7 linked regions of the Rattus norvegicus genome follow. The protein of the gene in region 1 interacts with the protein of each later gene in a biochemical or structural test. Links are inferred from orthologs where the notes say so. Each region holds a gene or a part of one and is shown in the gene's direction. Other genes may lie near its edges.

The links.
Region 2: the proteins of Lrrk1 (region 1) and Nek1 form a complex in vitro, tested with the Homo sapiens proteins (2 studies listed by BioGRID and IntAct, with this or other methods). The link is inferred for Rattus norvegicus from reciprocal best matches to the Homo sapiens genes LRRK1 and NEK1.
Region 3: the proteins of Lrrk1 (region 1) and Bag1 form a complex in vitro, tested with the Homo sapiens proteins (2 studies listed by BioGRID and IntAct, with this or other methods). The link is inferred for Rattus norvegicus from reciprocal best matches to the Homo sapiens genes LRRK1 and BAG1.
Region 4: the proteins of Lrrk1 (region 1) and Bag5 form a complex in vitro, tested with the Homo sapiens proteins (2 studies listed by BioGRID and IntAct, with this or other methods). The link is inferred for Rattus norvegicus from reciprocal best matches to the Homo sapiens genes LRRK1 and BAG5.
Region 5: the proteins of Lrrk1 (region 1) and Scel form a complex in vitro, tested with the Homo sapiens proteins (2 studies listed by BioGRID and IntAct, with this or other methods). The link is inferred for Rattus norvegicus from reciprocal best matches to the Homo sapiens genes LRRK1 and SCEL.
Region 6: the proteins of Lrrk1 (region 1) and Ckap2 form a complex in vitro, tested with the Homo sapiens proteins (2 studies listed by BioGRID and IntAct, with this or other methods). The link is inferred for Rattus norvegicus from reciprocal best matches to the Homo sapiens genes LRRK1 and CKAP2.
Region 7: the proteins of Lrrk1 (region 1) and Cimip4 form a complex in vitro, tested with the Homo sapiens proteins (2 studies listed by BioGRID and IntAct, with this or other methods). The link is inferred for Rattus norvegicus from reciprocal best matches to the Homo sapiens genes LRRK1 and CIMIP4.

Annotation. Positions count from the first base shown.
Region 1 is NC_086019.1:129,285,631-129,289,130, reverse strand, and holds part of Lrrk1 (leucine-rich repeat serine/threonine-protein kinase 1), read left to right. Parts: intron 1-602; exon of another isoform or gene 603-605; coding exon 606-770; intron 771-1,349; coding exon 1,350-1,522; intron 1,523-2,621; coding exon 2,622-2,742; intron 2,743-3,111; coding exon 3,112-3,271; intron 3,272-3,500.
Region 2 is NC_086034.1:34,017,077-34,020,576, reverse strand, and holds part of Nek1 (serine/threonine-protein kinase Nek1), read left to right. Parts: intron 1-1,258; coding exon 1,259-1,410; intron 1,411-3,500. UniProt on the Homo sapiens protein: Phosphorylates serines and threonines, but also appears to possess tyrosine kinase activity. Involved in DNA damage checkpoint control and for proper DNA damage repair.
Region 3 is NC_086023.1:60,867,060-60,870,559, reverse strand, and holds part of Bag1 (BAG family molecular chaperone regulator 1), read left to right. Parts: intron 1-1,359; coding exon 1,360-1,473; intron 1,474-3,500. UniProt on the Homo sapiens protein: Co-chaperone for HSP70 and HSC70 chaperone proteins. Acts as a nucleotide-exchange factor (NEF) promoting the release of ADP from the HSP70 and HSC70 proteins thereby triggering client/substrate protein release.
Region 4 is NC_086024.1:136,590,479-136,594,588, reverse strand, and holds the start of Bag5 (BAG family molecular chaperone regulator 5), read left to right. Parts: upstream 1-1,310; 5' UTR 1,311-1,422; intron 1,423-1,864; exon of another isoform or gene 1,865-1,880; intron 1,881-3,064; 5' UTR 3,065-3,089; coding exon 3,090-4,110. Other genes in the region: Coa8 (cytochrome c oxidase assembly factor 8), read right to left, coding at 1,055-1,177. UniProt on the Homo sapiens protein: Co-chaperone for HSP/HSP70 proteins. It functions as a nucleotide-exchange factor promoting the release of ADP from HSP70, thereby activating HSP70-mediated protein refolding.
Region 5 is NC_086033.1:86,859,132-86,862,631, forward strand, and holds part of Scel (sciellin), read left to right. Parts: intron 1-1,484; coding exon 1,485-1,577; intron 1,578-2,331; coding exon 2,332-2,403; intron 2,404-3,500. UniProt on the Homo sapiens protein: May function in the assembly or regulation of proteins in the cornified envelope. The LIM domain may be involved in homotypic or heterotypic associations and may function to localize sciellin to the cornified envelope.
Region 6 is NC_086034.1:76,555,614-76,559,113, forward strand, and holds part of Ckap2 (cytoskeleton-associated protein 2), read left to right. Parts: intron 1-38; coding exon 39-108; intron 109-2,758; coding exon 2,759-2,999; intron 3,000-3,500. UniProt on the Homo sapiens protein: Possesses microtubule stabilizing properties. Involved in regulating aneuploidy, cell cycling, and cell death in a p53/TP53-dependent manner.
Region 7 is NC_086025.1:111,815,413-111,818,912, reverse strand, and holds part of Cimip4 (testis-expressed protein 33), read left to right. Parts: intron 1-377; exon of another isoform or gene 378-451; intron 452-2,536; coding exon 2,537-2,967; intron 2,968-3,500.

The DNA of each region.
Region 1 (3,500 bases):
TTGTACAAAACCAGGTCAGCATGCTGTCTATGCCTTGGAGGCCAAAATGCTGCCTCATGGAAATGACTCCTGGCTATGGCTAACTGCAGCCTCGGTTTCTCCGCCAGCTCTGAGCTCATGCAGTGACAGAGAGACCATTTACACAGCCTTCCTGGCAGTCCAGTTCCTGTTGTTGGATTCTCACGTGGGAGAAGTTTCCCATCCTCGTTGGTGGCCTCTAACCTTTGACCTACATGAGTTCTGGGACGCCTCCTCCTCCATATGGGCCTTGCACAGAGGGTGGGAGCCATGATGTCAAAGTGGGGGCCCTCCTGCAACCAGATGTCTTCCAACTGTGGGAAGCCTAAGATAACTAACACAGCAGGCCACGATCTCCTCAGATACCCTGCTCTGTTAGCTTCACATAGAAGCCCCCAGACGTCTACCTTTGTGCCGCTGGGCTGGATTCCCTGGTCAGGATTGTTAATTCCTAAGACACGCCGGAGCCTGGATGTTTCCCATAGCCATGACTTTTCCAGATCCATTACAAGTTGTACATTTCATTGTAATTTCCTTGCCTCTGTGGTCACTCAAATGCCCCTTTCTGTGTCTTATTGTTCAAGTAGGTTGAGTCTGTGGAGTTCAACGTCTGGGACATCGGGGGCCCTGCCAGCATGGCCACAGTCAATCAGTGCTTCTTCACAGATAAGGCCCTATATGTGGTGGTCTGGAACCTGGCCCTGGGGGAAGAAGCTGTGGCCAACCTCCAGTTCTGGCTTCTCAACATTGAGGTAAGGAGCCACCCTCTAGAGTTCGGGTCCCAGCCTCCCACAGTTCTGTGGTCTGAAGTGCTGTGCGGACTACAGAGAAAAGGGACCACACAAGGAAAAGACTCTATTCTTGTTGAAGGGCTCCCCCCAGAGGGCCCAATGTCTTCCAACTGTGGGGAGCCCCACGACTTGGTTCTTGGTTGATTTTCACATCAAGAACCAGAGGCCTCCTGGGCCTGAGGGCCCAGTGTGCTTGCTATACCCTTATTTACCTTAAACCCTATAACCTTGTGTGTGCAAGGCAGGCAGTACTCCCTCTCCGTGTAAAGGTGCCATTGGCCTGACACAGGCTTCTCCCTCAGTAGACAGAAGGACCAGGTCTCCCTCTCCATGGGCTAAACACATTGCATGAAGCAGATCAGTTCATAAGAGTCCGTGCCCCTCAGTTCATAATGGACCCATGATCTTAGAGTCCACAGGAGGGTGGCTGAGCATGGACCACTAACATCCAAGGTTGGCACACTTGCACGTTGAGGAAACTGTTCTCCACTCTTTATTCAGAGCAAAGATACAGGGCTTAGCTGTGGGGTTCTGTTTCAGGCCAAGGCCCCAAACGCCGTTGTGCTGGTGGTTGGGACACATCTGGACCTTATCGAAGCTAAATTCCGAGTAGAGAGGATCGCAACACTGCGTGCCTACGTGCTGGCCCTCTGCCGCTCACCATCGGGGTCCAGAGCTACAGGATTCCCAGACATCACTTTCAAACACTTGCAGTGAGTATCGTCTACTCTCTCTCTTGCCACTACAAGACGGGATCACTAAGATCCCATCCTGCCTGGGATCTGTCACGTGTATGAGACAGGCTCCTCTGGACAGAGGGTGGCACCGTGAGCAGGGGATGACCCATTGGATGATTAGAGAGAGACAGGGTCTCCAGACTCCATAACTGTCTGTCCTTCCTTCCTTCCTTCTTTCCTTCCTTCTTTCCTTCCTTCTTTCCTTCCTTCCTTCCTTCCTTCTTTCCTTCCTTCTTTCCTTCCTTCCTTCCTTCCTTCCTTCCTGGGCTCTCTCCTCCCATCAGGGCCAGTGCCTAGAGCACACAGCTCCCCTGGAACGAAGACACGTGAATGTGAGCACTGTCCACAGTACTTTCAGATCAAGGACCAACATCCCAGTCCTTGTGTTGGCTCTAACTAGATCTGAGACAGCTGCTACGTCTGAAGCAGCTGCAGAGTGTGAGGCAGGGCGGTCTGGTGCTGAGGAGAATGGCTACCCTGGCTGTGTTGCTCAGTTAACCTCTTGTCAGTGGCCACCACCTTGCCAGGGTTGTGACGCTCAGACCATGCATCTGAGGCTCAGTAACAGAAGTGAGAATCCCTGAGCAGACTAAATGGGTGTTGCTTCAGCTACTCTTGGATTCCCTCACTCTGGGTGTGATGGCATGGGTGCTGGGACACAGGTCAGCCTGACTCGAATGCAACATCAGGATTTGGGGGCGGGGGGACCCCTGGTATGCCCCAAGAAAGACTTGGAAGGGTCTTCAATAGCAGGAGTGCTGGCTGGTTCATAGTCAAAGCCTCAACAAGCATATATCTTTCCAAGCTAACACCCTTGGGAAGCCCAGTACCTCTGGGCCTTACTCTTCCTCTGTGAATTCAGTCTATTGGGAAGACAGACCAAACTGGCATGCTATAGGACATCCAGCATGGGGCTGTGCACAGAGAAAGGCCCCCAAAGCCTTCCTATTCTCTCTTTTAATGACTTCTCGAGGTTTGTCACCATTTGGGACAAATCTCCAGGGAAACTGGGATGTTATGCGCCCTGAAGCAAAGAGGTGGCATGTCGATTGAGCCCCAGTGTTTGCACATACAGCGAGATCTCCTGCAAGAATCTGGAAGGGCAGGAGGGGCTGAGGCAACTGATCTTCCATGTCACGTGCAACATGAAGGACGTGGGCAGCACTATCGGCTGTCAAAAACTCGCTGGCAGGCTGGTGAGTGTCCCCGCACGCAGTCGGGTCAGAGGGTCCTGCTTCCCACTACTGGGATCCACGCTTCTGTCCCCTTCCTTGCTGTAAGGCACATGTCTGTGTTTAAGGTCAGTAGTTCCAGGTGGGAGCAGGGAAGGATCAGCGGCTCTCACAATAGACCTGGCATGACTAGATCTGCTGTGACCTTGTACGTTTGTCCCCCACCTGAGGTGGGGCAAAGCCATGCTCTGAGACGTGTTTGCAGTTCTAATGCCGTAAAGACATGTCTTCTGGTCCTAAGACCATAGAGTGGGATGATAGTGGGGAGTTTTGGTGCAGGCGACACATACTCCTTACACCTGAGAGGCCCATCTTTGCCCCACCTGCACCCAGATCCCCAGGAGCTACATAAGCCTACAGGAGGCTGTGCTGGCTGAACAACAGCGCCGCAGCCTGGAAGATCAAGTACAGTACCTGACGGACAGGCAGCTGGAGCAGCTGGTGGAGCAGACGCCTGGCAATGACATCAAAGACTATGAGGACCTGCAGTCTGGTAGGCCAGGAGTGGGTACCCAGGGAGCATAGGTATAGGGGACCGGAGGCTGGCAGAAGGTGGGGCGAGACACCTGGGAGGCTCTTGGTCACCACATCTCCACCTGGGCCCTCAGCACAGCAGGCTAGCAGGTTTACATGACAGCGCTCAACACCTCCTGGTGTCTGCCTGCCTACCTGCTGCCTCCCTCCACTTCTCCCTGCTGCCTCCCCTCCACCTGCCCCTTTTC
Region 2 (3,500 bases), on another chromosome or scaffold:
GTTGTTGTTGCTTTTGCCATGTTTGCCAGCTTGTAACCGATGATCATTTCCATAATTGGTGTAATACAGAAACTGTGTTCAAATATTGGGAACCTGTTCTTTATTATTCTGAAAACGCTGCACTAAGAAAATTGGCCAAATATGCAAATTTCTGTCACTGTGTGAAGCACTATGCTTTCTTCAAAGCCTTCCCTGTAATTCAGAGCTCCTCAGCGCCTAGGACTCACATTTCGATCTCGGATTCCTTTAGAGTTAGCCCAGCCCAGACACGTGTGTTCAGCTGTCTGTCTCGTATCTATTCGTCACATGCTAATTGTTGAAGGGTCGATGAACAGAGTCGCTTCCAATCATTCCTGCTCTTGGCCAACACTGATTTCATTTTCCGCACCTTCGCTGTCTGTCTGTTTTTCCATTAGCATAGTTGGCCTACTTTCTTCTTGGTGTTGTATAAATGCTTTTCCCCATTGGCCTCGACGAGCTCGTCCTGATAGCCTTCCATCTGAGCTTGAGGACCCCGCTCAGCCCCGTTCTCGGGGAGGCAAAGGCAGGTTTCTCTTTACACTGATGTAAGGTCACTGATTTGCCCCATGTCAGCCAGCCAGCCACTCCTCGGAATAAGCACTGCACAGGGGCTGGTTGTACGTCACAGAGCTGCACCGCGCTCCAGACAACTCCTTCAGCTCTCAGCAAGTCTGCACAAGGAGAGCTGACCACAGGAAGGCAGGAGAAGCCCAGTGCAGAAAGAACAAATGGGCACTTCTCACACCGCCTGATTGTCAGCAGATTGGCATTTGCAGGCCATGTGTATCACCACACTAACCACTCTCCACTCTGTAAAAGCTGACCTAACTGAACTGCCATGCTAAAGCCCAGTCATTACTCACGAGTCTAATTTTCTTTATGAAAAAACATTAGCTGAATTTTTAATTTTTTGGTATTTTCTCACGAGTACTCCATTTGCATCATTCCCGTTCCTCCATCTCCGCCTCCAGCTCCTCCTGTGTACTCACACATCCTTTCATGGCCTCTCCTTTAATTATTGTACACGCATACATGCATATGAGTGCTTACTAAGTCTGTTTAGTGTTGCTTACATGAGCTGAACTTTAAGGAAATTGAGTTGTAACCTCAAGCAAGTCACCTTTGAATTCTTTAGTTCTAACATATAATTTTGGTATTGTAATTATATCACCTCTGATTCCTCCCTTTGCTTTTAATCCTCTTCCTCCTAATGGACAATCTGTGAACCTCTCTGTAGATGCTGAGGACCTGTTCACTTCCAGACCTTTCCAAGCTCTTCAGAACCCTAATGGATGTTCCCACTGTGGGAGACGTTCATCAAGACAGTCTTGAAATAGAGGAGCTTGAGGATGAACATATTAAAGAAGGGCCCTCGGATTGCGAGGACATGTAAGTATGGGACCACTAACAAACGCCAGTATCACTTGGACATCTGAATTGTAGTTTTCTTCAAAGTCCAGAGAGCGCGGCCTACAGTTGGCTTTTCATCACCCTTCAAGCTCTTACAACTTTGTTCAAGTATAATCAACCTTCCACTGTGTCATTTGAGGCACATAAAATTAGTTTATATTTATGCTCACTGTCTTTTTTCCCATTAACATCCATCTAGTAAACTGATGTGACTATAGTAAGTAATTACTAAACAGTGATTAAATCATTTTCACAGGATAATGACTGTTGAACAGTGAAATCTCCATTATACCGGGACTGAGATGGGAAATAGGGAAGTCTTAAGCACTCTGCATTTTATCAGGAAAAAAGATGCCTAAAAGATTAATATCTACCTTGTAATGTTTAATTTTAGGATGTATCCATGGTGATTTTGTGTGGTATATGTGGGAGTGGAGTAAGGTAACTCTGTGTGTGTGTGTGTGTGTTTTGCATGTAACTTTGTTGCATACAGAAAATTCCTTTCTTGTGATTCATGGGAAATAGAGAACTCAGGAAGGAAATAGAACAACATTTCTGTAAGTTATAGGAAATGTTGGCCAAGCCTTAGATAGGAATCCTTCTTAACCTCTGTAATTTTAGCCAACCACCTCAGACAAGTATGACAACCTGGGAGGAATAAAGTCAAAATATCCTGTAATGAGGTGCTAGAAGCAGCACAGCACAGGAGGAGTCTATCCTGCAGGGTGCAGGGGTGCAGGGTGCAGGGGTGTAGCTCAGTGTAGAGTAGTAGCCTGCAGGAGGTTGCAGTTGCAATCAGGATTGCTGCCTTTGACACGTTACTTCTCAAGTTCCTAACGACGCTCCACTGTCTCATCAGCCCTCTTAGAGGCCTGTGGGTGGGTGGTTTGGAGGAAGGTCCCTCTAGCCCTGTGTTAGTCAGCTCATGGGGTGAACACAGCATGCAGCACTTCATTGGTGACAAAGTGTTGGCTGTGGGGTTTTTCCTCGGGCGTAAGTAAAATGGACACTGTAAGTGAGCCAGCTGTAACTAACAAAATTATTCTAAGTGCTGTTCTATATCGACTGGCCTGTCTTGGAAAACCCACTTGGATCGGTACCTTTCTCCAGATTTTACAACATGAAAGCCAACTGAAAACTAAGCTTAGGGGCTGGAGAGATGGCTCAGTGGTTAAGAGCCTGGACTGCTCTTCCAGAGGTCCTGAGTTCAATTCCCAGCAACCACATGGTGGCTCACAACCATCTGTAAAGAGATCTGATGCCCTCTTCTGGTGTGTCTGAGGACAGCTACAGTGTACTTATATATAATAAATGAATTAAAAACAAAAAAACAAAAAAACTAAGCTTAGGGCCAGATACCTAACACGGATATTTGAGTGCTGATTTCACACATTAGATCTCCTCACATTTTTCTTAAGCAGCAGTCAGGCCAGCCTCAGGAATTTAACTCCCATTTGTACGTCTTGGCCATGTTTTTCTCTAGCTGACAAGTGGGTTATCCACAGGTCAACATTTAGTCTTCATAGCAAAGGTTCCATGATGCATTAGGCTTCTCATTAAGCACCAAGTTTTGTTCTGATCACATCTGTAGCGTCCACTAAGTCAAATTGCTATAAGTACAAAATAAAGGTATTTCTGTGCAAATGATCATTTTCTTTGTCCATTAATGTAAATTGTTTTCAAGGTCTCACAAAGTATTATATTTGGGAGTTAACTGTTAACTTTGGGAAGGGTCCTCTCCAACCCTGTACCTTACTCAGCATTGCATTCCTAGTCCAGGGACTCGTGCCTAGGGACCTCATCCCTTGTCCTCACACATCAGGTAATTCCTCAGCTTCATGTTTGTCCTCAGAGACGAACCTGAAGTTTTAGAACTGAATTTCTAGTTATTGTACAAGTGCCCAAAGACAGAGGTTGAAGATGCTTGATAAGGTCACTTGTATATTTTCATGTCTCTAATGAGTTTCATTTGGATAAAACTTAAATAGCATAAAACTGCTTAGTAAACTCGTATGCTATATACATATAGGATTTTACCTATAAATTATTCCACGTTTTAAATCTCAGGA
Region 3 (3,500 bases), on another chromosome or scaffold:
GGAGAGTTTCGGGGAGCATAACAAAGCAGGAAGCTGCTGGCCCTAGCTGCCGGCGAGAGAAAGAATAATGTTGTAAATGTTTGCTGAAGGGTCAGGCAAACAATACGGGCAGAAGGCAGTACCCATGGTCTCGGTTTGGTGTGCTGTGGTAGTTTCTGTTGGAACTGGTTAGGGTCAGGGAGTCCACAGCTGAGTTCTAGTCCATTCCCCTGATTGGGCATTGGGACCTTAGGTCACTTTACTACATTAAGGCCCAGTGTCATCTATGAAACAGTTCCTGCCTCTTAGGGTTATGGTAAAGCTTAAAAACCAAGTAGCAGAGGTAACATTTTAAGCACAGTACCTGGCATACCAAGAGCATTCAGGAAAAATGTTGTCACTGTTACTATCGTGTTAAATAGGAGAATCCAACTGAAGGGTGACATTTACATTTAAAAGAAGATAGTCGTGAGCCAAACCTGGTGGCACCTGGCTGTAGCTCTACCATAGGGAAGGTAGAGGCAGTTGGGTCAGGAATTCAAGGTCGTCCTCCCATTACACAGTATTCTTGAGGCCACCCTGCACTGTTTGGGAAAAAAAAATGTCATACTGCTGGGCATGGAAGCACACTGTAATCTCAACATTTAGGAAGCTGAGGTAGGAAGAATGAGACTAGGTAGTGGGATCTTGTCTCAAGACAAAACAAAGGACGAGTTGAATTCTGTCTTCCCATTCTGGACACCTTAGCGGTATTCTCTTGAACTTACTTACACTCTACTGTGTTAAAGATGTATTTATCCTATTTCGTGTATTCTAGTATTTTGCCTGCATCTGTGTGACTGCACTATGGGCTTGCCTGATTGATGCCCGTGGTGGCCATAAGAAGGGTAGGATATGCTTGAACTGAAGTTACAAAAGATTGTAAGCCTCTGTGTGGGTGCCAAAAACTGGACCCAGATCCTCTGGAAGAGCAGTGAGTTCTCTGTAGTCCGTGCTTACATTCTGACCTAGCTGTTGGGGTTGGGGTCAGCACAGGGCTGAGGCTGAACCTGACACTTGGATTGGCTCCATTCTCTGAGCATACGTCCTCAGGATTCTCACTACGATGTTCGCTTGACACCTTCCTTCCTTCTTTTTTTTTTTTTTTTTGGTTCTTTTTTTTCTGGAGCTGGGGACCGAACCCAGGGCCTTGCGCTTCCTAGGCAAGCGCTCTACCACTGAGCTAAATCCCCAGCCCCGCCTTCCTTCTTGACGCTCGGCTTTACAGATAGGAATCGTGGTGTCTAACCCTTTGACATGCTTTCCAAGCAAGAAGCACGAGAGGTTGACTCAGTCTTTTTAGGTGAGCAATTACCGACCGAATTTTATCCTTTGTGTTAGAGCAATCCAGAAGAAGAGGCTGAGTTGAAAAAGCTGAAGGACTTGGAGGTATCTGTGGAGAAGACAGCTAACCACCTGGAAGAGTTGAATAAAGAGCTTTCTGACATCCAGCAGGTGACTTCCCTAGTCTAGGGATAGAGCGCTATGGTATTGTTGCCTGGCTGGCTTTTTAAAAACCAGCTTACTTCATTTTTATTATGTATTATGTGTGTGTCTGCGTCTGAGTCTGTGTGGGAGTATGTGCATGTGTCGCTGATGGCCAGGGCCACCAGAGATCTCAGATTCCCCCAGAGCCGGAGTTATCTGAGGTTGTGAGCCTCTGTGTGGATGCTGCGATCAGAACTCAGGTAAGCAGGTAGAGCAGCTCACATTCCTAATCACCGAACTGTCTCTCCAGACCAGTTTGGGGTTTAAATTCTGAAGTTAATGTGGGAGGCTTGCGCAAACGTTTTAAATGTGTATATAGATAGATTCAAACCGAGGCCTTTCACCCCTAAACTGTGCTCTCACTGTGCTTCTTGTGTGCAGGTATGAACGTGTCACCCAGAGATGCCATTACTCTGAAAAGTATTTCTCATCCTATTTAATATGTTGTACAGTTGGTAAATTATTCTTTTACTGATGAAAAATTAACATTTTCCTCTGTCGTTGAAAATAGCCATATTTTACTGCATGTGAATACATCATGATTTACTTAACCTAGTCTCTGTTCTCTGTTTTACCTAATTTTTTCCCTTACATGTGCTGCTGCTTTGCGTGCCCTTGGACACAAGTGTTTTTTGAGTAGTTGTGATTGTTTTGGATAGAATTGAGTTTGGATTTCTGAGTAATGTTTGAACTTCTTGCTGTGTGTTGTCAAATATGCATTTGTCACTCCGGTTCGATAGCCATCTTCAGAAATTCCTGCCTTTCTACTCTGCTGCCAGCTAACAGAGCATTAGGCAAAGAGATGCGAATGAACAGAGGACGGGTAATGACAATAAGTGCTGCTTGAACCAGGTGTGGTTTTGCACACCTGTATCCCAGCTCTCCTCAGATGGAGAGATGGGGATCAGGAGTTCAAGGGCAGCATTGACAATGCGGTGAGTTGGAGACTGGCTTATACTACATGAGATCCTGTCTCAAAGCAAAGCTAAAACAACAGTGTCATTCTCTGTTATCTGTCTACCTGTGCTCCCTCATCTCCGAGAACAGTGAGACATGACAAGATTAAGTAACTCGCTTAAGCTCTTAAGCCAAAGCTGGGGGTATGTTCAGAGTCCCAGCATCATGTAGAATGTAGAAATTGGACTGATGGCACACTGTATAATCCCAGTGCTGGGAGGCAAAGACCGGAGGATTGGATCCCTGCCACTCACTGCCCAAGCAGTCTAGCCAAATTGGGCAAGTTCCAGATTCAGTAAAAGATTCTGTCTCAACAAAAATTAGACAGAGTCTTAGTCAGTGTCCTATTGCTGTAAAGAGACACCACGGCCACAGCAACTCTTAAAAGAAGAAAGCATTTGACTGGGGCTGGCTTACAGTGCAGAGGTCTCGTCTGTTGTCATCATGTCAGGAGGCATGGTGTCATGCAAGCAGACGTGTTGCTGGAGAGGTAGCTGAGAGCTCTACATTTCAATCCACGGGCAGCAGTTAGAGAGAGAGACTGGGCCTGGCTTGAGCTTTTGAAACCACAAAGGCAACCACCAGTGACACACTCCCTCCCACAAGGCTACACCTCCTGATTCTTGTCAAGTAGCACTAATGACTAAGCCTAATGTCTGAGCATCCAAATATATGGGGGTCATTTTTATTCAAACCACCACACAGTGTTTGACAGACACCTCGTGCCAACCTTCGATGCCCCATGCCCAGCATTCCAGTCTATTCTCTTAATGTCTGCTCCGTATGTGCATGTATGCACTCATGTTGAAGGCTGCACCGTAGTTCCTCAGGAGGCATTCAGAGCCCCAGTGGACTGCATGAAAAAGAGCAGTTTGCACCCCGGTAGGATTCTTAGACTGGCCAAGGCTAGCATTTCTAGTTTTCCCAAGGGAAGAAGGTCTGAGATTCAGCCTGGCTTCTTAGGTCGGAGGTGAACTCTGGTTGCTTCACCTGTCTATTGGCATGGTTTCCCAGGAGTCCCAAACACTTGCAATAGT
Region 4 (4,110 bases), on another chromosome or scaffold:
GGGTCCTCGGCAACAAATCTAAGCCGTAGAAGGAACTTCAAAGCTGTAGTTATAATAAGTGTGCTGGGAGACACAGCGTAGCAAATGAAAATTTCCACAGCAGGCACATTTTGCAATTCTTAATTTTCTCTGTTTCTCTCTTCCCCTCCCTCATTCCCTCTCTCTCTCTCTTTTTTAAAGATGTATTCATTTATTATATATAAGTACACTGTAGCTGTCTTCAGACACACCAGAAGAGGGCATCGGATCTCTTTACAGATGGTTGTGAGCCACCATGTGGTTGCTGGGAATTGAACTCAGGACCTCTGGAAGAGCAGTCAGTGCTCTTAACCTCTGAGCCGTCTCTCCAGCCCCTCATTCCCTCTCTTAATTATTGCTTAATCGAAGCTCTCCAGTCTCTATCACTAGCCTAGTGGCAGGTGAAGTGTTAGTAGCCACTGATTAATGTTTTCATCTGACGGATAGACTCAAAACCTAGGCCTTCCTTAAACAGAACATCCTGTCGCAAAGAAGTGCAACTGATTTAATAAAAAAAAGATTTATTTATTTTTTATATATGGGAATACACTGTCACTGTCTTCAGACACATCAGAAGAGGGTATGGATCTCATTACAGATGGTTGTGAGCCACCTTGTGGTTGCTGGTAATTGAACTCAGGACCTCTGGAAGAGCAGTTAGTGCTCTTAACTGCTGGGCCATCTCCAGCCCCGGAACTGATTTTTAAAAAGGCTTCACGTCCTTTCCTGCTGCAGACAAGCACTGTTGATCTCTGACATCACGTGCATATTTACAAACAATGCGAAGTCTACACAAGTGAGATGATGAAGTCGGCCACCGCTTTAAACCGAACACTAGTCTTAACGAAGCGGAAGTGAGAAAACACACTTCAAGAGCTGTGTTGATACAAATGGTATTTAACTTGGTAGAATAAACAAGATTCGCACTCTCCACAGCGGATCCGCTACAAGGATCATTAGCCTGCCGGAGAGACGCGGGCGTCGTTGGGGTGCTCAGCGGCTTCCCTCCCTGCCAGCGCCCCGGCGTCCCGCTTACCCGGCTGGACGCAGCATCCCTGCGCTCCGTAGCGCGCTCACGGGCCAGCCGAACGCCGCCGCCGGAGAAGGACCGGCAGAGCAGCCGGCGAAGAGCTTTGCTTCCGGGCCGCAAAGCCGCCATGGCCCGCGCGTACGGCAGGATCGCGACAGTGGAAAGGTTGGCTTTACGGCAGCGTCGCAAAGCCTGGGGCGACGCGCGGCGAGGCCGACCCTGCGCATTCCCTGAGAGGGACGACCGGTTGCGGGGCCCGCACGGACGAGGAGGCGAGTTTTCTCCGGGCTCGGAGCTGAGGGGCCCGCTGTGCGAGGACGGCGACAACGCTGCGGAAGTGGAGGTGGCGGAGCGCGATGGCGCGTGCGGCACAGGTGAGCGCTGCGCGGGGGCGCGACCTCCGAGCTTCCGGAGTCGGGCACTTGGCCACCCTCGCTGCGCAGGCCAGCGCCCGCCGCGCGCCCATTGTGAGGTCAGGTGGCGGCGCGTCCGGCCCGGCCGAGACCCGGGAGCGGCCGCCGCGGCCAGTAGCTGCCGCCGCCTCCGCCGGCCCCTTCACCGGCTGCCCGGGTCAGACCTAGCCGGGAAGGGCGAGGGGGATGACGCTGGGGGCTCCGCTCCGGTGCCGCTCCCCGTGAAGGGCCGATCTCCCACCTCGCCGCCCTCCGCGGCAGCCAAGACCGCCGCCACCCAGACCTCTCGGAGTAAAGCGCTGCGAAGGCCGGGCTTGGACCCTCCCCAGGGACTGAGTTCTGTGGCCTGCCCGCCAGAAGTGAGCTGTTTGACAGAAACCTGAGAGCGTGGGAAATGCTCTAAGCACACTTACGGGGAGGCGAGTGACCGAGTTAATCGCAGTCGTCAGGTTTTTGCGGCGGGTACTTGAAGTCGAGGGCGAGGATTTGGACGTTTTCTTAGTTCCACTTTCTGAAAAGTAGCAAGTTTAGCTGTCTGTCCGAATGCTGCTCCTGTCAGTTTGGAAGAGCTACTTCCACAAGGGCACCCTGCTGGTTCCAAAGACTAGCTTAGGTTGGTGGGATTTCAGGAGATTGTGTTGCTGCTAACCCGGTGGGTTGACCTAGTATATGAAAGTGTATGCAGCTCGCTTTCATGGTTTAAGACAGAATTCATAGGCCTAGACATCCACCCAGGCTGGACCATGAGTACCTTCCTGTCTGTTCTTAAAATCCCTGCCGTGTTCCCTTATTTTCTTTTTGCTTTTGATTCTTGGTGTCACCAAGTAGTCCTTGGCGATCTTGAATTCGTAATTCTCTTTCCTCTGTCTCCCTGGTGCTAGGATGGTAGGCATACACCAGCTCACCAGCTTGGTTGGTTTGTTTTTTGTACCTGTTCAAAGAGGCAGTTGACATGTCACATCTTCCTTTTCCTCAAGTGTCTTTTAAACCTTTGACAAAACCCTCCGTGTGTTTGCTGCATGCCCAGCTGCCAGAGTTTGACCTGTCCACCCGCCATCGTTTCTGTGGTGTCCTTTGGTTTTGTTTTTTGAGGCAAGGCTTCTCATTGTCCTGGAGCCCCTCAGTTAGGCTGGCTGGCTGGCCAGTGAATCCCAGAGCTCCATCCGTCTTTGCCTCCCCGGCCCTGGGAATTTAACTGGGCACCGTCTTGCCTGGCCTTTCTGTTTTATTTTATGTGTGTTGGTGTTTCATTTGCCTGCATGGATGTCTGTGCACCATATGCGTGCCTGTAGAGTACAGAAAGGAAATCAGATCCCCTGGAACTGGAGTTACCATTAGTGGTGGTCATGAGTTGTCATATGGGTGCTGGTAATCAAACCCAGGTCCTCTAGAAAGCATTCAAGTCTCTTAACCACTGAGCCCTCTCTCCAGCCCCTTCCCTGGCTTTTTTTTGCACGTGTTCTGGAGTTGCAACCTGGACACTTGACTAAGAACTCTCTCCACAGCCCCAGTGAGCCCTTTTAAAAAGTGTACTAAAAAGGAGTGTTTGGATTGGGTTATTACCCTAAGAGACTAATAAGTTATCGTTCTTGCTATCTTTCAGTGCTTGTGAAACTGAACACACAAGTATGGATATGGGAAACCAACACCCTTCTATTAGTAGGCTTCAGGAGATCCAACGGGAAGTAAAGAGTATAGAGCAGCAAGTGGTTGGCTTCAGTGGCCTGTCGGATGACAAGAATTACAAGAGACTGGAGAGGATTCTGACGAAACAACTTTTTGAAATCGACTCTGTGGATACAGAAGGGAAAGGAGACATCCAGCAAGCTAGGAAGAGGGCAGCACAGGACACAGAACGCCTTCTCAAAGAGTTGGAGCAGAACGCGAACCACCCACACCGGATTGAAATCAAGAATATCTTTCAAGAAGCTCAGGCCCTTGTGAAAGAAAAGACTGTGCCCTTTTACAGTGGAAGCAACTGTGTGACTAGCGAGTTTGAGGAAGCCATCCAGGACATCATTCTGAGGCTGACACATGTTAAAACAGGAGGGAAGATCTCCTTGCGGAAAGCAAGGTACCACACACTAACCAAGATCTGTGCGGTACAAGAGATTATTGAAGACTGTGTGAGGAAACAGCCTTCCCTGCCACTTTCCGAGGATGTGCATCCTTCTGTCGCCAAGATCAATTCTGTGATGTGTGAGGTGAACAAGGCCAGAGGTACTCTGATTGCACTTCTGATGGGCGTGGACAGTTCTGAGACTTGCAGGCACTTATCATGCGTGCTGTCAGGACTGATGGCTGATTTAGATGCTCTAGATGTGTGTGGGCGTACAGAGATCAGAAATTATCGGAGGGAGGTGGTGGAAGATATCAACAAATTACTAAAATATCTAGATTTAGAAGAGGAAGCTGACAATACACATGCATTTGACCTGGGACAGAACCATTCCATTATAAAGATAGAAAATGTCCTCAAGAGGATGAGAGAAATGAAAAATGAACTTCTCCAGGCACAGAGCCCTCCTGAATTGTACCTGAGGTCCAAGACAGAGCTGCAGGGCTTGATCGGGCAGCTGGACGAAGTGAGTCTGGAGAAAAACCCCTGCATCAGAGAGGCCAGGAGAAGAGCAGTGATTGAGGTGCAGA
Region 5 (3,500 bases), on another chromosome or scaffold:
TTGAACTTTATAGTGTGTATCATGTCATTTGTGTAGAATTAATATTTACCTACTTACTGCTGCCAGAGTTTGAAACCAGAGTCTTATGAATTCTAAGGAAGCACTAAGTTTGATTATTCTTCAACAGTTCTAAGCTAGTTTATTTTTCTTGGGATGACATAGCCTAATAAAACCCATGAGAAAACCTGTGATAGTTTTGATCCCACCTTTTCACTATGTGCTATAACTTGAAAATTTACTCACAAACATCTCCATTAAAGCAAGATGCTCTTTAAAGATAAGCAAATGAAAAGTAACTTATTCTAGATATGTTCATTACAAGCACAAGTCCCCACAAACTTTCATTGACGTAGAAATGTGTACACGTGTTTAGAATCACATGAATGTGATAACTTTAAATGTATGATGTTATGGCCTGATACATTTAAAATCAATGCATCCCACATCTTCGTAAAGTCTTGAACAAAATGGAGAGAAAAGTCATGCTAGCCTCAATTCATAGCTTCATACTTGTAAATTTTAGTGTATATTTAGCCAAGGCTAATTTTTTTATAGTTTAAAATGTAAGGTACCTTCCTCTAATATTTTTATCTCATTAGTTTCATTTTTTGTGTGTGTCAGAGATGAGCCATTAATACATCTTCCTCTTTAAAAGTTATATGGGACAAGGTGGGAGAGATAGCTCAGTAGTTCATAGCATGTACTGTTCTTTCAGAGGACCAGAGTTCAAGTCCCAGCACCCACATAGGCTCACAACCGCCTATTATTCCAGCTCCCAAGTGATTCCTGTCTCTGGCTTCTGTGGGTGCAAGCACTCAAATGCACAAAGCCACCCACAGACAGTGTGTTTGAAAATAAGGCTTAAAGAACATCCGAACTGTAGGTTTCCATGTCTTTACTCTTGAAGCTTACCAACACAGAAGAGGAGAGAAATTGCTATAATTTTCACTATTTTTTTCATTGAGAGTTTCCTCCATTCCTTGGGAGAAATTGAATGTGTTTGTGCTCTGTTAAACAGGATGACATTTTTAGATCAGCAGAAATCTAGGTCAGACTTCTGCAGTCTTCAAAGTATTACCTTTCATTAAGGCAAAATGGGAAGTGAAACAGCTCAAACCAACCCTTGGGTCGTTCATTAAGGTGATGAATCCTTAGATATGTGCTACAAGGGAAGTTTTCTAAACAGCATCGCTGTTGTGGAAGCAATCGAGGAACCAATTTTCAGTGGATTTTCTCCTTGATGAAAATACACTCTGCCATGGCATTGAATAATATGGCTTTTGTCTGTAGATTATTTGTGAAAGTAAGACAGTGAGTTCTGCGGAGCCAGGGGAACCAGTAAAGACTATGTATTCTGTATGTAGCTGTGCAGAAACCAGGTAGAGGTAAAGAAACACTGTCCGCCAAGTAACATTTTAATAGAGCAAAAACACCTGTAAGTGATCTTGATTTTGAATGTCAAACACACACGTTTGCTCTTGCAGGGTAGATGGCCAAGCCAACGGAGTCACTAACAGTCTGCGCAAGGAATCCCCAAGAACATCAGTCTATTCTCATGAAACCAAAACCAGCCTCAGGTACAGATCGTTACAAAACCAATGACCACACTGTCCCTGCATTTGTTTATAAGTGAGCTAACCACATCTTTGATGCCTAGGACTTGCTATATGTAACTACCCTTATATCAGAGTGCTGAGTCAGCAGCTCATTGATTGCTGGAACAAATGTAGACAGATATGAAATGTAGTCCTTGCTTTAAAGTCTACAATTACACAGAATATGATTGTGACAGTGATGCTGACAACTTCTTTTAGAGATTTATTTATTTTATTTTGTATGCATGTTACGTACATGAGTCTATGTAGATGCACCACATATGTACTGGTGTCCAGAGTCCACAAATTATCAGATCCCCTGGAACTAGAATTACAGGTGATTGGGAACCACTATATGTGGGTGCTGGAAACTGAACCTGGGTCCCCTGCAAGAAGAAATGTTCTTACCCATTGAACTATTTCTCAAACTTGACAATATTCACATTCTTGAACTGGATCTGTCTGAGTATATAGCATTAAATCTGAGTTTTCAATAGTCAAAGTCCACTTTTAACTCAAGAGTTATTGGGGAACATGTATGGCATAGAAATAAACAGAGCATTAGGGAAACATACACTAACGTACAATACATGGATAGTTAAGATGGCCTTCATGCTCTCTGATATATCTCTCTATATATATTGTATTTATGTTACGTATACATGGAATATATAGTTTTGTTTTTATCATCCTCACAAGTAACATTTTAACACGAAGCTAAATGGTTTTATTGCAGCTCCAATTCTGGAACCAGGAATGCTGGGCCCAAGGACACTGTTGTTTACACAAGGACATATGTGGAGAACAGGTAACAGGAAAGTTTACTTCCTTTTATAGCCCTGAATGGTCTGTGCCACACAAGAGGTCCTACCATTTCCGGGTGTGGTCTTATAGAGAAGATAGAATTATTGTAAGTTCTACACATATAATATGTTGTTCCCAATAATTAGGGGGATGGGCAACTCATGGTTATTGTATGGACTCAAAAGTATTTAAGATAACTAATGAGTAAGTAATAGGATTATTAATCAAATGTTCTCACATAAAGTGTATGACTATTTGGTATAACAATTTTTTTGAGTGACCTTAATTCAGAGGCTTTATCTACTAGGTACTTCCAATCTGAAACAGAAAGTATATCTTTAGGTTGACATACCATGGCCTGATTTACAGAGTGCCAATGTCCCATGAAACTGTCTGCTTAGAACGATGGATATTGACCAAACTGTCCACAAAGGTCATGGATTCACAACATTTAGTTGTCAAGGAGTCAAAAAATGAGAACTGGCCTCATTATAGGGTAATAGAGTAGCAAAGCACACAAAGGTAGACATACATGACATAGACATACATGACATAGACATACATGACATAGACATACATGACATGTGTTAAATCCACATTAACAAAACCCAGAACAGCAGTTCAGGGAAATCTTCTGTGTGCATGACAGTTCCCACAGGCAACTCAATGCCTCTTTGGCTCAAATCATGTCTAACTTACACATCCAATTCCTAAAGTAACTTTTCTCCTAATTTCAATATCACGCTATAGTGGCTCCATGATAGTGATTCCTACTATATTTTAATTAAACTAAAAAATAAAGTATTTAAGAGAAAAATTAAATCAATAAGTAGTTATTGAATCTGAAAGAAACTGACACATAGATAAACAGCATGGGAGTGGGAGTAAAGTCAAGAAATAGAATGTTGGCAAGCGGGATACAAGGAACAAGCGTTTATACTTACATATCACTCTCTTTTCACATGTTGGTAACCCTGTGGGGCAGCACATCCATACATTTTCCTGTCTGAAGAAGTGTCTCATTGAAACAAAGGCCACCAACCGTGATGTCAACCTTTAAGAAACCGTTAATTTCTAGAATTAAGCGTAGTCTACTAAACA
Region 6 (3,500 bases), on another chromosome or scaffold:
TCTTTCTTTGTTAAAAACATTTTTTTTTAAAATTTAAGCCTATTGAAGAGATGCGACATATAATCATAGATATTCTAACAACGAAGAATCAAGAAAAAGCCAATTTGGGTAAGTTTTCTTCAGGCGAATTGTGATTTTTACTAAAATGTACCATTTCAGATTCCCTTTCATTTAACTTTTTTTTTTTAAACATAAGGTCTTCTCCCTGTGCTTCTGTTGACCTGCTTCTGAAGTGTAATAAATGTCTATCTTGCATAGACATTTTAAGCTGGATATGAAAGCTCACACCTATAACCCTAGCAATTTCTGAGGCTAAGATAGGGGGATGGTTAAGGCTGGCCTTGAACATAGAGACCCTGTCTCGAAAGAGAAGAATTGGCATCCTAGCTCTTGGCTGCTGAAGCAGGAGGATCATGGGTTCAGGACAGCCTAGGTGATGTAGAGTGAGACGCTGTCTCAAAAAAGATATTTAAGGAATCTAGTTCAAAATCCATATCTACTACTGAGTATGAAAGTTTCTTTCCGGGACTTAGATTCCTGTCTTAAAAGTGGGCCACAGCACAACAGCTTTTCTCTCTTCCTTTTTTTCTTCTTTAATAAATATTTTTTTAAGATTTATTTTATGTATATGCGTACACTGTAGCTGTCTTCAGACACACCAGAAGAGGCCATCAGATCCCATTACAGATGGTTGTGAGCCACCAGGTGGTTGCTGGGAATTGAACTCAGGACCTCTGGAAGAGCAGTTGGCGCTCTTAACCTCTGAGCCACCTCTCTTGTCATGTCTTAAAGAGAGAAATAAAAATAAAACTTGTGAGCAGGGTGGCATGGTGGTACACACCTTTAGTCCAAGCACAAGGGAGGCAGGGAGGGTGGGGAGGTGGAGGGTACACAGGACAACACGAGACATATACACACACACACAGACACACACAGACACACACAGACACACACATACACACATACACACACACACACAGACACACACACACACACACACACAGACAGAGGCTGGTGGCTCTCTGAGTTCTGGCCCAGCCAGAGCCACATAGTGAGACCCTGCCTCCAAAAAAACAAATAAATAGATTTTCTGAAGTCTTATAATTCTTACTGGCTCTAGAGGTGTCATTTACATTGAATTCAGTTTCTCATTTTTCCCCTTAATAGAATCTTTGTATTATTATTATTATTTTTTTTTATTAACTTGAGTATTTCTTATTTACATTTCGAGTGTTATTCCCTTTCCCGGTTTCCAGGCAAACATCCCCCTCCCCCCTCCCCTTCTTTATGGGTGTTCCCCTCCCCATCCTCCCCACCTTGCCGCCCTCCCCCCAACAATCTAGTTCACTGGGGGTTCTGTCTTAACAGGACCCAGGGCTTCCCCTTCCACTGGTGCTCTTACTAGGATATTCATTGCTACCTATGAGGTCAGAGTCCAGGGTCAGTCCATGTATAGTCTTTAGGTAGTGGCTTAGTCCCTGGAAGCTCTAGTTGCTTGGCATTGTTGTTCATATGGGGTCTCGAGCCCCTTCAAGCTCTTCCAGTTCTTTCTCTGAGAATCTTTGTATTTTTAAGCAGATAAATTATTAGTCTGTGATAGAAAAAAAGCTACCATAAAGCTTTGATGTTCTAAAATTTATAATATTCAAATATAAAATTGGCTTTACTGAACAAAGTGAAATCTAAGTGACAAGAAATAACGTGGAAAATACAAGACATATTAACTGAGAAATTACTGATAATAATAGATACCGTGGGTCTCTCAGGTACGCCAAGCTCCATGCAGAGCTGAGCACATGATGTTTTTCCTAAGCCTGACCCTTTTCTTTTCAATAAGTATTGTTCATGGCAGAATCTTGCAGGTGATTTTTTTAATATAGACTTATTTATTGCTTTATTGAGTCTTTTGTCTGCATGTGTATATGTGCGCCAAGTGCTTGCTAGATCGACGTTCTTCCATGCTTCTTTAGAAGATTATCTTTTCAGTCTTATTAAATACTTATTTTCAAGACCCATTGTAAATATTCCTTTTGAATACTTCCCTAACTGTCTCCCTGTACCATAAGCATAATTCCTTGTTTTAGTTAGGGTGTCTATTGCTGTGTAAAACACCTTGATCCTTTGGGGAGGAAAAGGTTTATTTCGGCTCACAGTTCTGCATCCCAGTCCATCACTGAGGGAAGTCAGGGCAGGAGCTCAAACAGGGAAGGAGCTGTTACAGAGACCATGGAGGAGTGCTGCTTACTGGTTTGCTCTTCCTGGTTTGCTTAGCCCTCTTTCTTATATCATCCAGGACCCACCCAGCAGTGGCACCACTCCCTATGGGATGTGCCCAACCACATCAATCCTTAATTAAGAAATGCCCCACAGACTCGCCACAGACTTACCGATATGGTTGGGGGCATTTTCTCAGCTGAGGTTCCCTCTTCCCAAGTGACTCTAGCCTGTGTCAACTTGACATAAAACTGACCTAGTTCATTCCTTTCTATGGGTTCCAGCAACCCTTTGTTCTTACTTGACTTACACTGTTTTATCTCACTTATAGTTAATTGTTCTTCACCTGTGTCTTTCATGGCATAGTCTTAAGAACTGGAATGGTTCCATTCTTAAATTTGTATCTCTGCACACGGGACATTAGACGTTTGTTAAGTTGTTGGCAGAAGTGTGTACATGGGAAATACAATGACTAGGCAGTGTCATTTGGTTCTGTCATTTTGACATTTTGTTTAAATAGTTTAAATCTTTAATTTTTCTATAGGAGAAAATATTGAGGAGGCTCATGCAACCAAGGAACATATCCAAGAAGTAAATGTTGAAACTAATCTCGGGTCAGGAAAACCAGAAGAGGAGAATGAACATCATAGAAAAGTTGAGGTTTACGAAGACAATCAGGACAGCAAAACAGAAGATCCAACCAATGATCTAACAACCCCAGACTCAAAAGCCGAGGCAGGTTGCCTGATTCGATATAATGTATCTTCTACACCACGCTTGCAAAGGTAAATGTTTAAAATGGAATGTCACCTGTGTTCATGCTCCAGTGATAATTTTGTTTAAAAAAAAATGTTAATGCTAAGGGTCAATCTCTGAATATGATGACTCCTGGGTAATTGCATCACCCTGGGCCTGTGGCAGGCGGATTGCTGTGGATGGAAGTCTAATCCAGACTACCCTGTTTCAAACAGGGTGAGAACAGGCCATCGGGACACCTGACCTTTTCGTTACTACATCAGCTTTGTTTTTTCTACATGGTGTCACTTTGTAAACGCCAGCCTTGGTTTCCCGCCACATGCATCTGTGCAACCCACAGCTCTTTCTAGGCATTTTTATGTAAATTTTTGAGATTTATTTTGGTGCGTGTGGGTGTGCCTGTATGTGTTCCTTTGCACCACATGAGTGCAGTGCCCACAGGAGCCAGAAATACTTGTGGAGTTTCCCTGGGACGGAGTAAACAGTTCGAGCTGCTGTGTGGGGGCAAGGGTTCAAACCTGGGTCTTTCC
Region 7 (3,500 bases), on another chromosome or scaffold:
CACTCATCCACCCACTCATCCATCCATCCATCCATCCACGCACCCACCCACCCACCCATCCACCCACCCATCTATCCACCCATTCCATCCATCTATCCATCCACCCACCTACCCAACCATCCATCTCATCCCATCCCATCCACACAATATCAGACCCCAAGGAATAACACCACCACCCTCAACATTTCTGGGTGCCCAAAGGACAAAGGTAATGATCTTTGCTCTATGAGCCCAAGAACCCAGGACATACCCAGGCCAGAGGTGCTACCAACCCTGAAGGCTGGCAGAAGACTAGGGTGCTATTGTTACTTCATAATAGCTCAACAGATGAGGCAGCCAGGAGGGCAGGCTGGGGACATGGCATCACTAAACCTTGGGTCAGGAAGGAGTGTGAGTTTGCTCCTGCACAGACATTGTCTTCCTAGGGGGAGGTGACACTTCCACTGACCAGGCAGGTGCTGTGTATTCTGTTCTTCCTACCTTGGCTTATATTCTAGAAGCCCTACTTGGCTCCGGAAGCCCCACTGCTTGACTGTCTGCTGCTTTGGGCAGAACTTAGGAGAGGAGGGCCATCTGGTTCCAGGAGACAATCTCTCCCTTTGGATTTGTGGATGGAAGCAGATGGGGACAAAGAGTGGGGTTAGAGAGGCAGGCAGAAGTGGGGAGAAATGGAAAGAGATCCCACTTTTCTCTGCACCCTCTCCCTGGTGAAGCACCCACACCACTTCCAGTGGAGCCGGGGGTTCTGGCACTACCCCTCATGATCCCTGAGGCAGGGGCTTTCAACAGGGCAAGAAAGTCACAGCTGTGAAGCCCGATGCTTGCACCAGCCTGTTTTAAAACCTGACTGGTGGCCACCAAGCAGTGGGGCAGCAGCCGGCGTCTGTGAAGTAGGAAGGGACATTCCCTCCATACCAATGGTGTGGGTTGGACTCTGAGGTGCAAGGGTGTATTTTAAGCAAGTTAGAATGCAGCATGAAGTTGGATTTCATTTACACCCAAAAGCAAAACACGCTGTTGTAGACTGGAAGAGTCTTCTGGAATATTTAGGGGCAAGCTGATCAAACTGGCTCCTGGGGCTGAGAATGGGGTTAGACTGTGAGGACCACGAGGGACTCTCATGCACAGCACATGTACTGGAATACACACCGCCATATTGCTTAGAGAAAACACTCTTGGTTAGCCAAATCCAGGGTCATCAGTGCAGCCTACAGTCAGCAGAGAGAAGGCTGATGTCTTGGCTTGCATGAGGTGTTGTTACTCTTTGGGGTCTGATATTGTGCAGCCATCTGTCTTCTCCTTTACTGAGGGACTCAAAAGTTCTGGGGATTGTGGGGTGTGGCAGAAGGCTGGAAACTGGCCTCCTTCATGGACCTCACCTGTGCGATCCTCTTCCCTTATCTACTGGGCGGAAGGAGGCATTGTGGAGCTTACGGCTGAGGTAGAAAGGGGACATCCAGGGCTGTGAAAATGGACTGTGTATAGTGTTGAGCAGAGAACTGGCCTAGCCAGATGGGGTTGGTGACAGGAGGTGTGCGTGTGCGTGTGTAAGAAATCTGATTTGACTTTCAAAACAGAAGGGTGGTGGATGGTGGAAAGAGGACTCTCCTGTCAAGAGCCATAGTTGTTCTTCCAGAAGACCCACCAGGTTCGATTCCCAGTAACCTCATGGTGGCTCACAACTGTCTGTGACTCCAGTCTCTGGGAATCCAACGCTCTCTTCTGACCTCTGTGGGCACTTGGTGCCTGGACTTAGGTGCAGGGAGACCACCCTTATACATAAAAATAAAAATAAAGTTTAAAAAATATAAAAATTTATAAAAAGAAAGGGATAGCCTCAACAGGTAGTAGACCAGCTTGGGTGACCCTGAGAGGTGAAGTGCCTCAGGGTGATCAGGGACTGAGGCATCCGTCCCTTATCTGAACCAGGGATGACAGGAGTGGAGGGACATAAGCTGAGGGCAGAGTTTTGGGGTGATACAAATGGGAATGGGAAAGGAAGCCCCGAGATCCAGGAAGGTGGCTGGAAGGGAAGGCAGAAGACATGGGAATGGGGAGCAAAGAGCCCATTCTGGCACTTTGCCAATCTGAAATCTGGCCAAGCCAAGAGCCACCCCTGCCACCCCTATGCCTGCTGGATTCATCTTAGGGTTTGTTGCGGCTCAAAGTGAGCAAGGAAGCTGATCCAAGTGTGCTAGGGGACATTAAAGCTCAGAGAGGCTGGATCACTTGCTCAAGGCCATGCAGTTGGCCTAATGAAGGCTGAACAAGCCTGGGTCACAGCCCCTTTGGTCACAGCCTTATGGGGACAACAACTGAGCTGTGGAGGTCTGCCCACTGACATCCCTTTGTCCCCCCTGCTTTCTTGCCTTGCCTTGGGGTCTTGTGACTTCTGTACTGACCTGTTGTCTGGCTCTGGTTCTCTGGTTTTTGTCTACTTCCCTCCCATCGGTCCAGCTGTCACCTCCCCTCATCTGCTCCTCACCCCCATCTTGAACCTCCCACCTCTCACCATCCATCTTACCCCCCTGCCCAGGTACAACCACTTTGACAAGGACCCACCCGAACAACATGGAGGGCCAGCAGGACATGGACTCCTGCAGAGCTGCCCGTAGCTCCTTGGACAGCTCCAAATTTAAGGACCATCCAAGACTCTCCCAGAGCCCTTTAGGCGGCCCTCTGGGCCAGAGCCACCTGGAGACCCCACCTCTGCCACCAACTCCTATCTGCAGGACTTCTCTGGCTATGAACTCACATCCTGAGGACCTGAAGAAGGGAGCATCCAGATCCAGCTCCAGAGATGCCAGGGAGACCTTCCGAGAGGCATGTCTTGGGCCGGAAGGCCAGGACTCCAGGTCCTCAGAGCAGAGGACACTGCCTCTGGGCAAGAAGGACACCGCCATTCCTGAAAACATCCGCCACAAATTTGGGAGCAAGATGGTGGACCAACTGATCTCTGAGGATCAGGTGACAAAGCTAGGGACTCGGGAGACTACACGTGAAGGAAGGTTGTCTTAGAAACGTTTAATTAGGACTCAAAACCCATTCGTACAAAGGGCCTTATACTGTTAGAAAGTGGTGTCTGTTGAGACCTGTTAGTTTCAAGGCTCTTGGGTCTGCCTTCTACCCATGTTTTACAACTAGGAAAACAGGAGCCTAGAGGTTTCCAAGCCCTGCCCAAGTCAAGAGCAGCTCTATGGTCAGAACTGATCTCATACTCAGGTTTCCTGCCCCACAGGCCCAGACTTGACCTTGTGGGTCTCAGTTTCCTTCTTGGTATGAGAAAGAAGTTGGTCTCAGTGTAAACTAAAAAGTTTGCTTTGTGGGATACCTTAGTATTAGGGCAGCAAGTTGGGGCTCTGGGGTTCATCAACCATATTAAACTGGGGAAGTCTGGCCTCTTGAAGTTCCGTTTCCTTATTTCTACAATGGTGGGGACAGGCTCGGTTTACAAAGAGCCTCTTTCTGATGTGTACACAGTAAGAGCTCAACGTGTATAG